Linked DNA regions of Caenorhabditis elegans. The protein of the gene in region 1 interacts with the protein of each later gene in a pairwise test. Each region holds a gene or a part of one and is shown on either strand. Other genes may lie near its edges.

Region 1 (4,941 bases):
GCATTGAAACAAAAGAGCCAGTAGAATTATAATCTCTAAATGATACACTGATAATAATAAAGAACAAAACCTAAAATGGACAAGAAAAAAGGAGGAACCAATGGGGTACGATAATGATCAAAAATTGGCAGCAGCAGCCAACAGGCGTTGCGTACGTATCTCGGCAAGCGGCAGTGTGTGTGGAAACACTGCGCATAAATACGAAACATGGAAGGAGCGAGGAGGACTAGACAAGAAATACACACGGGCGGTCGAAACAAACTGGTCTCCGTCAATGTTTTCTGGACTTCCAGGTTACCGTACTCTTTTTACACGCGGAACATTGTGTGTGGTGATTGATTGTCAAAGAAAAAATAACTGATTGATTCTGACGAATAGCGAAAGATGGATTGGGATGATGATGATGATAAGATGAAACTGAATGTCTAAATATAATTGGCAATATTTTTGATAAAACCTTGTAACATACCACCGGGAAAATGTAAAAGATTAATTCCTAAAAACTATTGATGGTGAATTTTCATCGATTTTTTTAATAATTGCCTTCATTATCGGAAAGAATTTGTGGGTTTATTGTTCTATTTCAGTTTTTTTTTTCTTAAATAAATACATATATTTTTTACGAAAAACTATGAAAAATCGATGCAACTCCCGTATCAACAAAAGTCTAGAGGTACAGTACTCTTTAAAGGCGGACGTATTTTTGTATTTTATAAAAAGACGTGTCGAGACCAGGCACCTTATTTTTGAAGCAAAAATCGAAAAATCTGGGTATTATCAAAAAAGTTATTTTTATTCTAAAATTACGAGCTTTCATATTATTTTAGGATCACAAAACGGCGCAAATAGAAATTCGAAAAAAAGTAAGCTTTTGAAGTTAATAAATTTGAACTAGACCAACTTGATCGTTAAAATCTGATTGTATTGATTGGAAAGTACTATTCTAAAATCCGGATACTAAAAAAACTAAAAATTAAGTAATTCCAGATGTCAAAATGTTGCGAGAGAAGAAGGAAGCATCCTCCGCTACAATTTCGAAAATCAGATCCAACATGACAGCCAGCGAGCTTCAGAGATAGAGACAACGCAAAAAAAATCGCGGCATGAGCAGCACTCACTGAAGGGGAGAAAGAACTCACACTCAAACTCATTCATTTATCCGCCAGCACCATCCATATCGTTCCTATTTACTTTTTCTTTCGCTTCATTTTACAGGTACTCGGAAATACTTTCTTTTCGTTTTTTACCCGCTTGTCTCTTGAGAAAGGCGAGTAGTACATTGAATAAAACGTCATTTTTTAGTCAGGGTTTGTTTTTTCTGATCTCACATGCCAAAACTCAAACATTCAGTTTTGTTATCTTGATGTAACTTAATTGTTAACTTAAACTCAATTATTTTTACCTTGCTCAACTCCTACATTCTAAATTGGAAGCTATTCCGTTCGCCTCGCTTTTGTTTTCTCGTGTGGCTTCTCTTCTTCATTTTTCATTCTCTGGGGCTGGCAATTGCCGTTGCTCTCTGTGCTCTACTCATCGTATCAAGCTCTTATCACAATTCGTTGTAATATCAGATGAAATTCATGCGCCCCAATAAAAAACCATTGGATATTCACAAATAGTTCCGCTTTGATATATGATATATCAAAATTCGAGGTTGTAAAAATTCGTTGTGATTTACCAGATTGGATTTCTAACAACGTCATTCGCATTTAACCAAAGAAACTTTGCCAGATTTTTGTATTTACCTGAACTTTCGTTAAAAATCGTTTGCACAATTCGAGAATAGCTTTTTTCGGATTCTAACTATCTGTTTCAGAATGGTGAGCGATATTTCGAACTCTCGAATACTACGAAGACGAAGTTCTACATTCACAGATCCAACTAATTTATTGGCAGTTCATGAATTGAGATCGAGAATATTACAAGTAAGCATTTAAAATATTGTAGACATTTAAAAGGATTAAATTTAGGATCCGGCAATATCAGTAAAGCATCTATCAGATGACGTTCATAGGATACGTCACGAAGACTGGTGGTTAGACAGGTTCTTAGGATCGGTTAATTACGATGTAGATATTGCATATGCAATTATGTTAGAGTGCTTGAAATGGAGAAGAAACTTTGAAGTGGACAGTAAGTTAAATAAAAAATAAAACCTCAGATGAATTTAACAACAATAATTCAGGAATCAGTCTGCTGTCACTCAAGCCATTACTAGATAACCAACTGATGTATCTTCACGGAAAAGATTTACAAAACCGGCACATGTGTGAGACGGCAATAAATATTGCAAATGTATAATAATAAATGTATATTCCAGTATGGATCATGATGAACAAATATAAAAATGGAGATGACGGCTTCGAAAAGCTGTTTACATTTTGGATAGAGCGTCACTACATGGAATACAAAGGATGTCAACCATTGACCGTTTTCATTGATATGACTGGTACAGGACTCAAGAATATGGTAGACACTGGGTAGTGTACGCAGAGACTGAAAAATGATTTTCAGAGCTTTGACGCAATGAAGTTTATTATACATTCCTCCAAGTATTATTATCCAAACTCAATTGAATCGATTTTGATTTTTGAAAATCCAGCGATCTTGAATGCTTCATGGAAAGTAGGTGTTTTTGTTTAAGTTGAAATTCTGACTTTATCAAAAGAGAGATTTCACACTGAAATTAGATACAAACGTTTCCCATTTCACTCTCACAATGCGAAATTGTTTCAGGTAATCGGATCTTGGCTAGAGTCTTCAGCTGCGAGTCAAAGACACGACTTACTCACATTTGTCACCAAGCTCAGTGTCACTCATTACGTACCAAAAAGTCATCTGTTGGAGCACCAAGGAGGCACCGTAAGACTTTTTTGCTCCGCTTCTTTTTTTACATTTTCATCCCGTCTGTGTACATCCATCACCAGTTTCGTTGTTTCCATGAAATAGGCCCCATTTTCCATCATCTTGTGTGTGCAGAGGGGGCCACTTGTGTTTAACACTACTCGCTGAACCCCACCACTGGCGATACGAGAATGAACTCTTTCGTGTTGTAACAAGCGGCCGGCTCCTGAGCCGCCTTTCTGACCAGCGCTCCCCGGCTGTTTCTACTCTTACTTTCATTGGTTTTTTTGAAGGATACTTTCAAATTCACCATGGACGAGCTTGCCAAATGCCTTCCACCACCACCGCCACCAAAACCTTCACCAAAATTACTTCAACAACGAATGCACTCTATCGACGATTCTACAAATAACAACGTAACTGAATTTGACTTCTCGTCGTTTCAGAAAAGAGTACGTTTCTTATATTTCTCATGAAGAATGTATTTTAGATGTAACGAATTACCTATTGCCAACATTTTAAGACTGACACTATATAACTAAATTAATAAGATTTTCAAATCTTGGGAAAAGTTGAGTATGCATAACTTGACACAATTTAGGGTAAATTATTTGGTAAGACGTCTAATTACCACCTAATTTTAGAATGTCAAGTTCGACGAGGAATCTACAACAAAACGAGCTCCTTCTTTGTCCAGAAGATCAAGTCGCGGACCGAAAAGCAGAAAATCGCATATCCCACCATCACTTCGACCACTTATTGAGAACCGAGTTAACGCACCAAGTGACGATTGGTCGTCCAATGACTTTGTGTCAATAACGTAAGTTTGACTTTGTGTGATACTTGAAACATGGTGTTCTTTCAGTCCGAGAGATGAATTACGACTTGAGAAACTCGACGGAGAAAATGACTTGCTTGATGTCGTCCTTGTCAAGAATCAGTCTTCGGACACACCGATCATGTTCAAATTCAAAACAACTTCGCCTGAAAAATTCCGCGTTCGTCCTAGTTCTGGAATAGTACAGCCTGGAACTACGGAAATCATCAGAGTTTATCTTCAATATGGTGAGGGAAGAATAGGAATGATATGATAAAATAATATTGCATAAGCTTTTAGAGTACCGACACTCGTGGAACAAAGAAAAGTTTCTGCTTCTTACAATGGAATCGTCATCAACAGACGTTGAAAGCTTCTCTGAACAGTTCAAATCAGCAAGCAACAAGGCAGAATTCAAATTCAAATGTAGATTGTCAGAAAATTTAAAGCTTGATCAGCCAGAGGAAAGAAGATCAAGCTTTCTACTCCAGCAGCAACAATTATTGAGCAAACCAGAGGGATTTTCTCTCGGAGGTTTCAACATCTACTTGCCTATAATAACTCTTATTCTCTTTCTGTTTTTGATCTTTCAATTTTCCTACATCCTACAAATGAGATCAGATAATGCATTACTCAGGGAAACCCTAGTTTCGCTCTCTTCTCAAATTAAAGAGGCTTCTGTGCCACTTCAGGAAACAATTGTTGAAGCTGTTAAAAATGAACTCTAAATGTTATGGAAAACGTGAATAAATGGTTGATTATATCAAAATGTCCTACAAACAAAGAGAAGTATAAACCTTACAACAGGAATTGGGATAATATTTAGTGCCAACCAGAGTTAACTGAAAAAAACACGTCCAATGCTGTACATTTCTACCGCGAAACCTTGAAAACCTTAAGATCCGCCAAGAAAACAATAAAACTCGTACAAAAAACGAAAAAGCAAGTCAAAAATAGAAGAGCAAAAGCAAGAATAACAAACTTCAAAATCAAAAATAAATCGATTGGCCTCGTAAATCGATGTGACCCCTATGGGTCTCACACAGAAGAGACGAGCAGCGAATAGTTGGCTGAGTATCAAACGTTAATGCGTGTGGGTCTCTTTTCTCTTTTGCGTGAAGCGAATTTTTTCCATTTTTTTTTCGTTTTGCGGTGATTTTTCCATTAAAAATTACTGAAATATTGAAAACTTAAGGAAATGTGGTGTTATATTTGCCTATTTCACATCGCCATGCAAATTAATAAATTTAGGATGTTTTTTCGTCTATATTTCTTAATTC
Region 2 (6,406 bases), 2.8 Mb from region 1:
AATATATTTCTCTATGGTATTAAAATCTATAACGAGATAATAGTACTTCAAATAATTTTCAACTTGGTAAAGTTTCAGCCGAACACCTGGATTTGGATCCAAGCGAGTCTCAGACAAGCTTGCACAATTATCTCCTGCTGCTCAAAAGTTGGCAACCAAGAAGCTTGGATTAAAAATGTTACCTGCTCACAAATCTCCTTTCGCCTCGCCGAAAATCATGTCGAATTGGTCAAGACCGTCAAGTTCAAAGCGATCCACAACTCCTGGTTCTGCATGGAGTCGTGGTTCTACTACACCTGGATCATCTTGGAGCCAAGGAGCACAAACTCCTGGCACACCTGGGATTGAATCTATGATCCGAAGAAAAGGGGATAACGTCGGACCTTCAACATCAGCCGGAGCTGCAGATAGAGCAAATGCTGGAGACTTTTTCTAATATTATAAGATTAGTATAATTTAGATCTGTATATTTTGTTCTCATGTGCCTTATAGACACGGTTTATTATTTATGACAATGGCCTAATAATTGATAGTAAATTCATTTATTATAATTTTTAATTTTTAAATTTCAGCACCATATAACATTTTAGAAGATTGAAAAACAAATGGAGAAAAGGCATTCAGAAGGTGAACAGAACCCGTTTGTGGGATTTTCAGAAAGTTGAAAAAATAACTGCAGAAGCCTGAAGCATAATTGAAGCATTTAGGGGAAATGTGTGAGCAAGAGCAGGTCATGGAGAGATAGAAAATGTGCGTGGGTTTGGAAATATTAAGAAAGTCGGTGCAATCCGGTAGGAAGTTTATGTGGTTGAACATAATTTGCAGGTAGCATTCCCCATTGAAGAGTTCGTTGAACTGTTCCTGTCATCCATCCATCATCAATTTTCTCGCAGTTCACGATGATATCACCTTCGAGGAATGAAATCTGGAATCAAATATTTTAGATGGTTGAATAAATTTTCATCGTGAAACTGGTTGAAAACCTAATTTAAATTTACCTCGTCTTTATCAGCAGCAGCGTAATCATAAATTGCCTTAACTGCAAATCCAGCTTTTCCAGTCGGTGAAATTGTGCTTTGTGGAGAAGAAAGTGTTGAATGTGGAGATGTTGAAGATATACTATTTGATGATGGAGGTGGAGCTCCTGCAAAATCCGCACAAAATCTTGCCGGACCTTTATCCACTTGAGCCTCTGCAACAAGCGGTTAGTTTCAATTAATGACAGATCAAAATTATTCAAAATGAGCTTTTTAAAAGATTATTTCTTCCACAAAACGAATTAATAAGTACCAAAACGTGCAAAAAATTTGTGTGGATTACAAATGAGCAAATCATTCAAACAAAAGCCAAAAAAAAAAACAAAATCCTTACTCAAATATCCAAGTTTCTCGGAATTTCTCGGTTGAGCAGCAGCTGTACCCCATTGTCCGTTCATTGGATCATAGTCAGCAATACTTCCGATTGATTTTTGTGGTGTTGGAGATACTGAAAGCGAAGAAAAATAACAATGCACAACACAAAAGCTTTTAGAAAATTACACATGAAGCACAACGAAAAATTTGGACTTTATATAACTAGATACCATAAATTAGACAAGGCTTAGGCTTGGCGTCAGTGGGGGAGCGTTAGCTCCCCCACTGACGCGCGATAAAAGTGGCTATTTAGGCTGAAGCCGCGCCATACCGCCGGTGTGTCATAAGGATTTCCAATATTTTATTCCAGTTGGGCATCCTAGTATGTTTTTCGGCCCTTTAGGCTTAAGTGTGTCATAAGGATTTCCAATATTTTATTCCAGTTGGGCATCCTAGTTTTTTTTCGGGCCCTTAGGCTTAAGTGTGTCATAAGGATTTCCTATATTTTATTCCAGTTGGGCACCCTAAGTCTAAATAGCTCTTTTTCTTTTCTTTTGCGCTCCAAGCGCAAGGAAAAACCTTATTGTAACTTTTTAAGAGGTTAGGCTTAGGCTTAGGCTTAGACTTAGGCTAGGCTTAGACTGAGACCTAGCATTATCTTAATTTTTGGTCAAATAATGTATCCGTACAAAAATCAGCAACAAAATCAGCAATAACTTTTATAGGCATTCAATCAGTTTTTCAATACACAAGGTGCTCTTTTTGGATGCTCATTAATCAATTCAATTGCTAACTAACCTGCTCCACCTTGCTCTGTTGAGTAGATCAAATGCGTATTTGCGGCTACTGCTTGTGTTGGAGCCGAATATGATTGATGGTTCATTGGAGAGATTGGAGCTGCAATAAATGGTTAGTGGAAAAAAAAAGTGAGTTGAAAAATGGAGAAGATTGATTTGTTGGAAATAATTCTTTAATTAAATGTATTCTTTATTGAAAAAATCAGTTTGTCATGGTTAATGTAGGATTTGAATAGATAGAAAAATAATAGTCATGATCAGAAATCGAACTGAAAGGAAAATTAAGCTTTAACAGTTTTGGCTGGCCCTTTCTTAAAAGTCGATTTGACTGCTTTCGGCTTTTGGTCAATAACTGGGACGGATGGAGCTGGAGTGGGCTCAGTGGGTTGTGGTGGAACAACAACACCTGAAGGTGTATTTTGTATGAAACAAATGAAGAGATTTGAGAAATAAGTGAACATTAGGACATTGATATGACACGAAAAGAAGTTGAAAATTAAAGTTCAATCTAAAAAGTATTTTCACTCAAAGCCATTTTGGAAAGTTTTCTATAATTCTATATACTAACTGAATGAAGAATTCAGCTTTCTAGAAACAACACTGCAAGTTTGCTTTTTCAATTGTAGAACATCTAAGATATTCTTCTTTAAAAACAGTGTTATTTTTTTAGAAGAAAACTCTGTTATCTGTTTGGCCTAAAAAAGTATGTACCTGGCTGAAAAGTTGGCAAAGTTTAGTCCAAATCTGGACAAAACTTAAGTTTAGATTAACCTAATCCTGATAAAAATATTTGATTCAAAATTTGTCATGTCAAATTTGGCTATATATATTGTTAGACCAATTTTGGACTGAATATTGGCGCGACCTAGAGCAACAACCAAGTTAATACTTTTGCCAAAATTTGGCAAGAACTTGTCCCACATAGTTTTTACAATTTTCAATAAGCGAGAGTCTTTAGTAATTTTCTTTCAGCTTTGAGCAAGAACACTTTAAGATTGATTATAAATATCTGCTCTAGAATTATGGCTAGCTGAAAAAAGCAAAGATGAGGTAGAAGAAAACAAACAAAACGTATCTAATCTAGATATCGATATACCATATTTCCCCTCAAAATGTGCCAAAAGTGTACAAAATGTTTCCAGTACAGTTTCAGAGAATATGGTAAATATGAAAAAAGAAACATTGAAAACTAATTCTAAAAAAAAAGCGAATTCTATCTAGGATATACAATCACCGGAATTTGCCAATAATCATCGTCTTCTTCTTCCTCATCAACTTCTTTTTCTTCATACTTCTCTTCAGTTTCTTGAACCATTGCCACTCCAATTCCATACACAACTCCTCCATTTCCAGTGACCAGTTGATAAACTGGCAGTAAAAAGCGATACAAAAACAATAAGAGAAAAGTGAGGAAAATTGAAAAAAGAATTAAAAGTTTTTCCCGTGCAAGACTTTTGACATAACTTGGACGATACAATTCTCAAGTCCATGGGGACAACAAAATGGAAGAACAACTTACTTGGAGTTGGGTTTGGTGAGATTTCCTCTTTTGGACGGACTTCTTCTTGACGAGCTTTTTGGTCGAGAACTCCGTGATAGGAAACATTTGATTGAACCTTAAAATAGCATTATTCTATTCTATCTTTAAAAATTTATTTCCAACCTGAGTATTTTTCTTCAGTCTTTCCATCTCTGGATCATCAGCAATTTCGATCTTTGTTCCCTTCATTTTCTCGTATTCGGCGTGGTATTTGATCTAAAATTTCAGATTATGAAAATTTGAAAATCAGTTATAGGAAGTAGCAGGTTTTATTGAATAAAACTAGCTATTTTGTTTATAGTTTTTTTTGTGTTTTTTCGAAATTTTGGAAACTCGAAGAATTTGAAAATTTCGTATATTTTATAAACTCAAATTTGAGTTAATTTTTACATTTTTAGTATGGAAAATTCTCATTATATACTAAGATGAACATTATATTAGAACTCTTCAAGAAAACTTGATTTACAGTAGTTTCCGTGGCGAGATCCTTTTTTTGAGAATCCATAATTTGACACCACTACAAATTTTTTAAGTGCCGAATTCGACAAAATTTATTTGTGTAGATTTTATAATATTTTTGATTTTGATTTTACAAATATTTTACAGATATTTTTTGGAAGAATTTTAAAAACTCTTTACAATTTTTGGGATAACATTCTCAAATGTTATATTTTTTAATTATAAATGAGATTTATGGGGAGACGATTTATTTTTTCTCTAAATTTTTTGCAAAAACTTACGTTACTCTGATTTTTAGTATTCTCTGCGATTCTTCTCATTTCTGGAGTATCCGCCATCACTGAAGCCACGGTTTTTGGATAATGTCTGAAAATAGTTGAAAATTTAGAAATTGAAATATTCTCATAAAAACTAACGGATCACAATACGGTCTCTTGTCGTATCCCTTATAGTTTTTCATATTCAATGTCATTCCGCAAACAGTGCATTTGAAGCATTGCTTGTGCCAAACTTTATCAAGACATTTCAGTTCCTCAACTGGATATACCGTCTTCCCGCAATCTTCGCGAGCACACTTTTTGCTCATTTTCTGGAAATAAAAACTGTAGAATATGAAGATTGAAGATATTTGAATAAACTAGAAAAAAATACAAATAGAAATCATAATAATGTTTTTGTAAATTGGCAAAAATTGGTAAAATTCATAAGAGTTTTGAGAATTGTCACATATTTTTACCCTATCAGAATAAAAACATATATTTTTGGGTTTATAAAATTATGTGTGGTAAAATTAAAAGTTGCCAGTTTAAATAAATCAAATTTGGGTTTTTCGGAAAATTTTAATATTAAATCTGTCAATTTGAGGTATTATCTTTGCTGAACCTTAATCTTTATAATTCTAACTTTTAAGACAAAACAAAATTTTTTTTTAATTTATAATTTGGAAATACTTTCCAAATTCTATGCTTTTTGGAAAGTTTCACCCTTGGACGGGAACGAAAGTTGTATGGCATAAATGATAGATAAGGCGAAACAAAGAAACATAGACAGATAGAGTAAATAAATTGAATGGTTAGGTTAGGTTGGATGTAGAATGGTAGGAAAATGACGGATAGACAAAAAAATGTATGAGTAAAAGTAAACGAGGCGAGAAACGAACGAGGGATGAAATGGGCGGATAGGGTGATTGTACAAAGATTTCGGGTAAAAAATTGAGAAATAGCGGGAAAGAAGAATGTGTTATTTATTCATGGAGCCCCCTTCTTCACTCCCCGACAAGACACTACACACAACTCTCACACATTTATGTTTGTGCTCATTTTGACTTTCCATACTCACATTGTTATCACACATATCAGTGAAATCAGGGAACTTGGTTTGTTTTGGCAAACGATTAAGTTGCGGTAAACGTATTGTTGGTTTGGGAAGAAAATGAAAAATGTATTATAATATATGAACAAAAGTGTAGTGGAGGCGATATGAATAATATAATAATATTTAATAATATATATATATATATATATATATATATATATATAATATTTCCCGAAAATTTAAATGTCCTCCATTTCTTTTTTTGCGATTTTCGGAGCCCAACTATAGTTTTTGCTTCAATTAATATTCAATTTTACAGAGAACCGGAAAAATTATTTTGATTTGAAGGAGTTTTTGTTTTAAATGTTCGGTAAATTACGAAATAATACTTTTATAATGAGTCCAAATTTCAAAAAAATGAGCAGGCATCTGTCCATTTTTGAAAGTAGTTCAAAAGGATTGTAGATGACCTCTCAAGAAACTATTAAAAAAGAAGAAGACGAAGCAAAGGGTACTAGTCTATTGAGAAGCTCATTTTCGAAAAAGTAGTTTTGAGTTTAAAATAGCTCCCTCCACATAAGAAAGATACGGGTCGCATCCTCGGAGCCGGCGGCGAAGAGAAGATGGGGAAGCGGTGTAAAGTGAAAAGTGAACACTTGGAAGAAGCCGTGCATACAACATGTTGATGATGCATCATCATTTTGTATGAAATTTCAAACGTTTTTTTTTTATATTGAAACCCAATTTGGAAAAAAAATGTATTGAAGCTGAACGGAATTCGAAAAATGTGCAAAAAACGACGTTGAAAAACTTTTGTAAGTTTTGTTTAAAATTGTTTGTAAATTTTTCTAGGCAATTTGAATAAACCGCAGGCTTAGGCACCAGAAAAGAGACATATTTACCCAAGAACACATGATTTTGGTTTTTTGCAATCCTTGATAGAA

The links. The genes of interacting proteins can lie anywhere in the genome.
Region 2: the proteins of hpo-28 (region 1) and F42H10.3 interact in a two-hybrid assay, tested with the Caenorhabditis elegans proteins (one large-scale study listed by BioGRID).

Annotation. Positions count from the first base shown.
Region 1 is NC_003281.10:5,706,200-5,711,140, reverse strand, and holds hpo-28 (Major sperm protein), read left to right. Parts: upstream 1-1,816; 5' UTR 1,817-1,817; coding exon 1,818-1,925; intron 1,926-1,970; coding exon 1,971-2,133; intron 2,134-2,185; coding exon 2,186-2,269; intron 2,270-2,320; coding exon 2,321-2,469; intron 2,470-2,514; coding exon 2,515-2,625; intron 2,626-2,736; coding exon 2,737-2,862; exon of another isoform or gene 2,863-3,137; coding exon 3,138-3,296; intron 3,297-3,488; coding exon 3,489-3,664; intron 3,665-3,709; coding exon 3,710-3,909; intron 3,910-3,961; coding exon 3,962-4,389; 3' UTR 4,390-4,424; downstream 4,425-4,941. Other genes in the region: B0336.12 (uncharacterized protein), read left to right, coding at 996-1,079.
Region 2 is NC_003281.10:8,482,486-8,488,891, reverse strand, and holds F42H10.3 (LIM and SH3 domain protein F42H10.3), read right to left. Parts: upstream 4,740-6,406; 5' UTR 4,735-4,739; coding exon 4,565-4,734; intron 4,515-4,564; coding exon 4,430-4,514; intron 3,906-4,429; coding exon 3,813-3,905; intron 3,766-3,812; coding exon 3,669-3,765; intron 2,250-3,668; coding exon 2,151-2,249; intron 1,486-2,150; coding exon 1,372-1,485; intron 1,193-1,371; coding exon 999-1,192; intron 926-998; coding exon 770-925; 3' UTR 527-769; downstream 1-526. Other genes in the region: Splicing factor ESS-2, read left to right, coding at 73-436.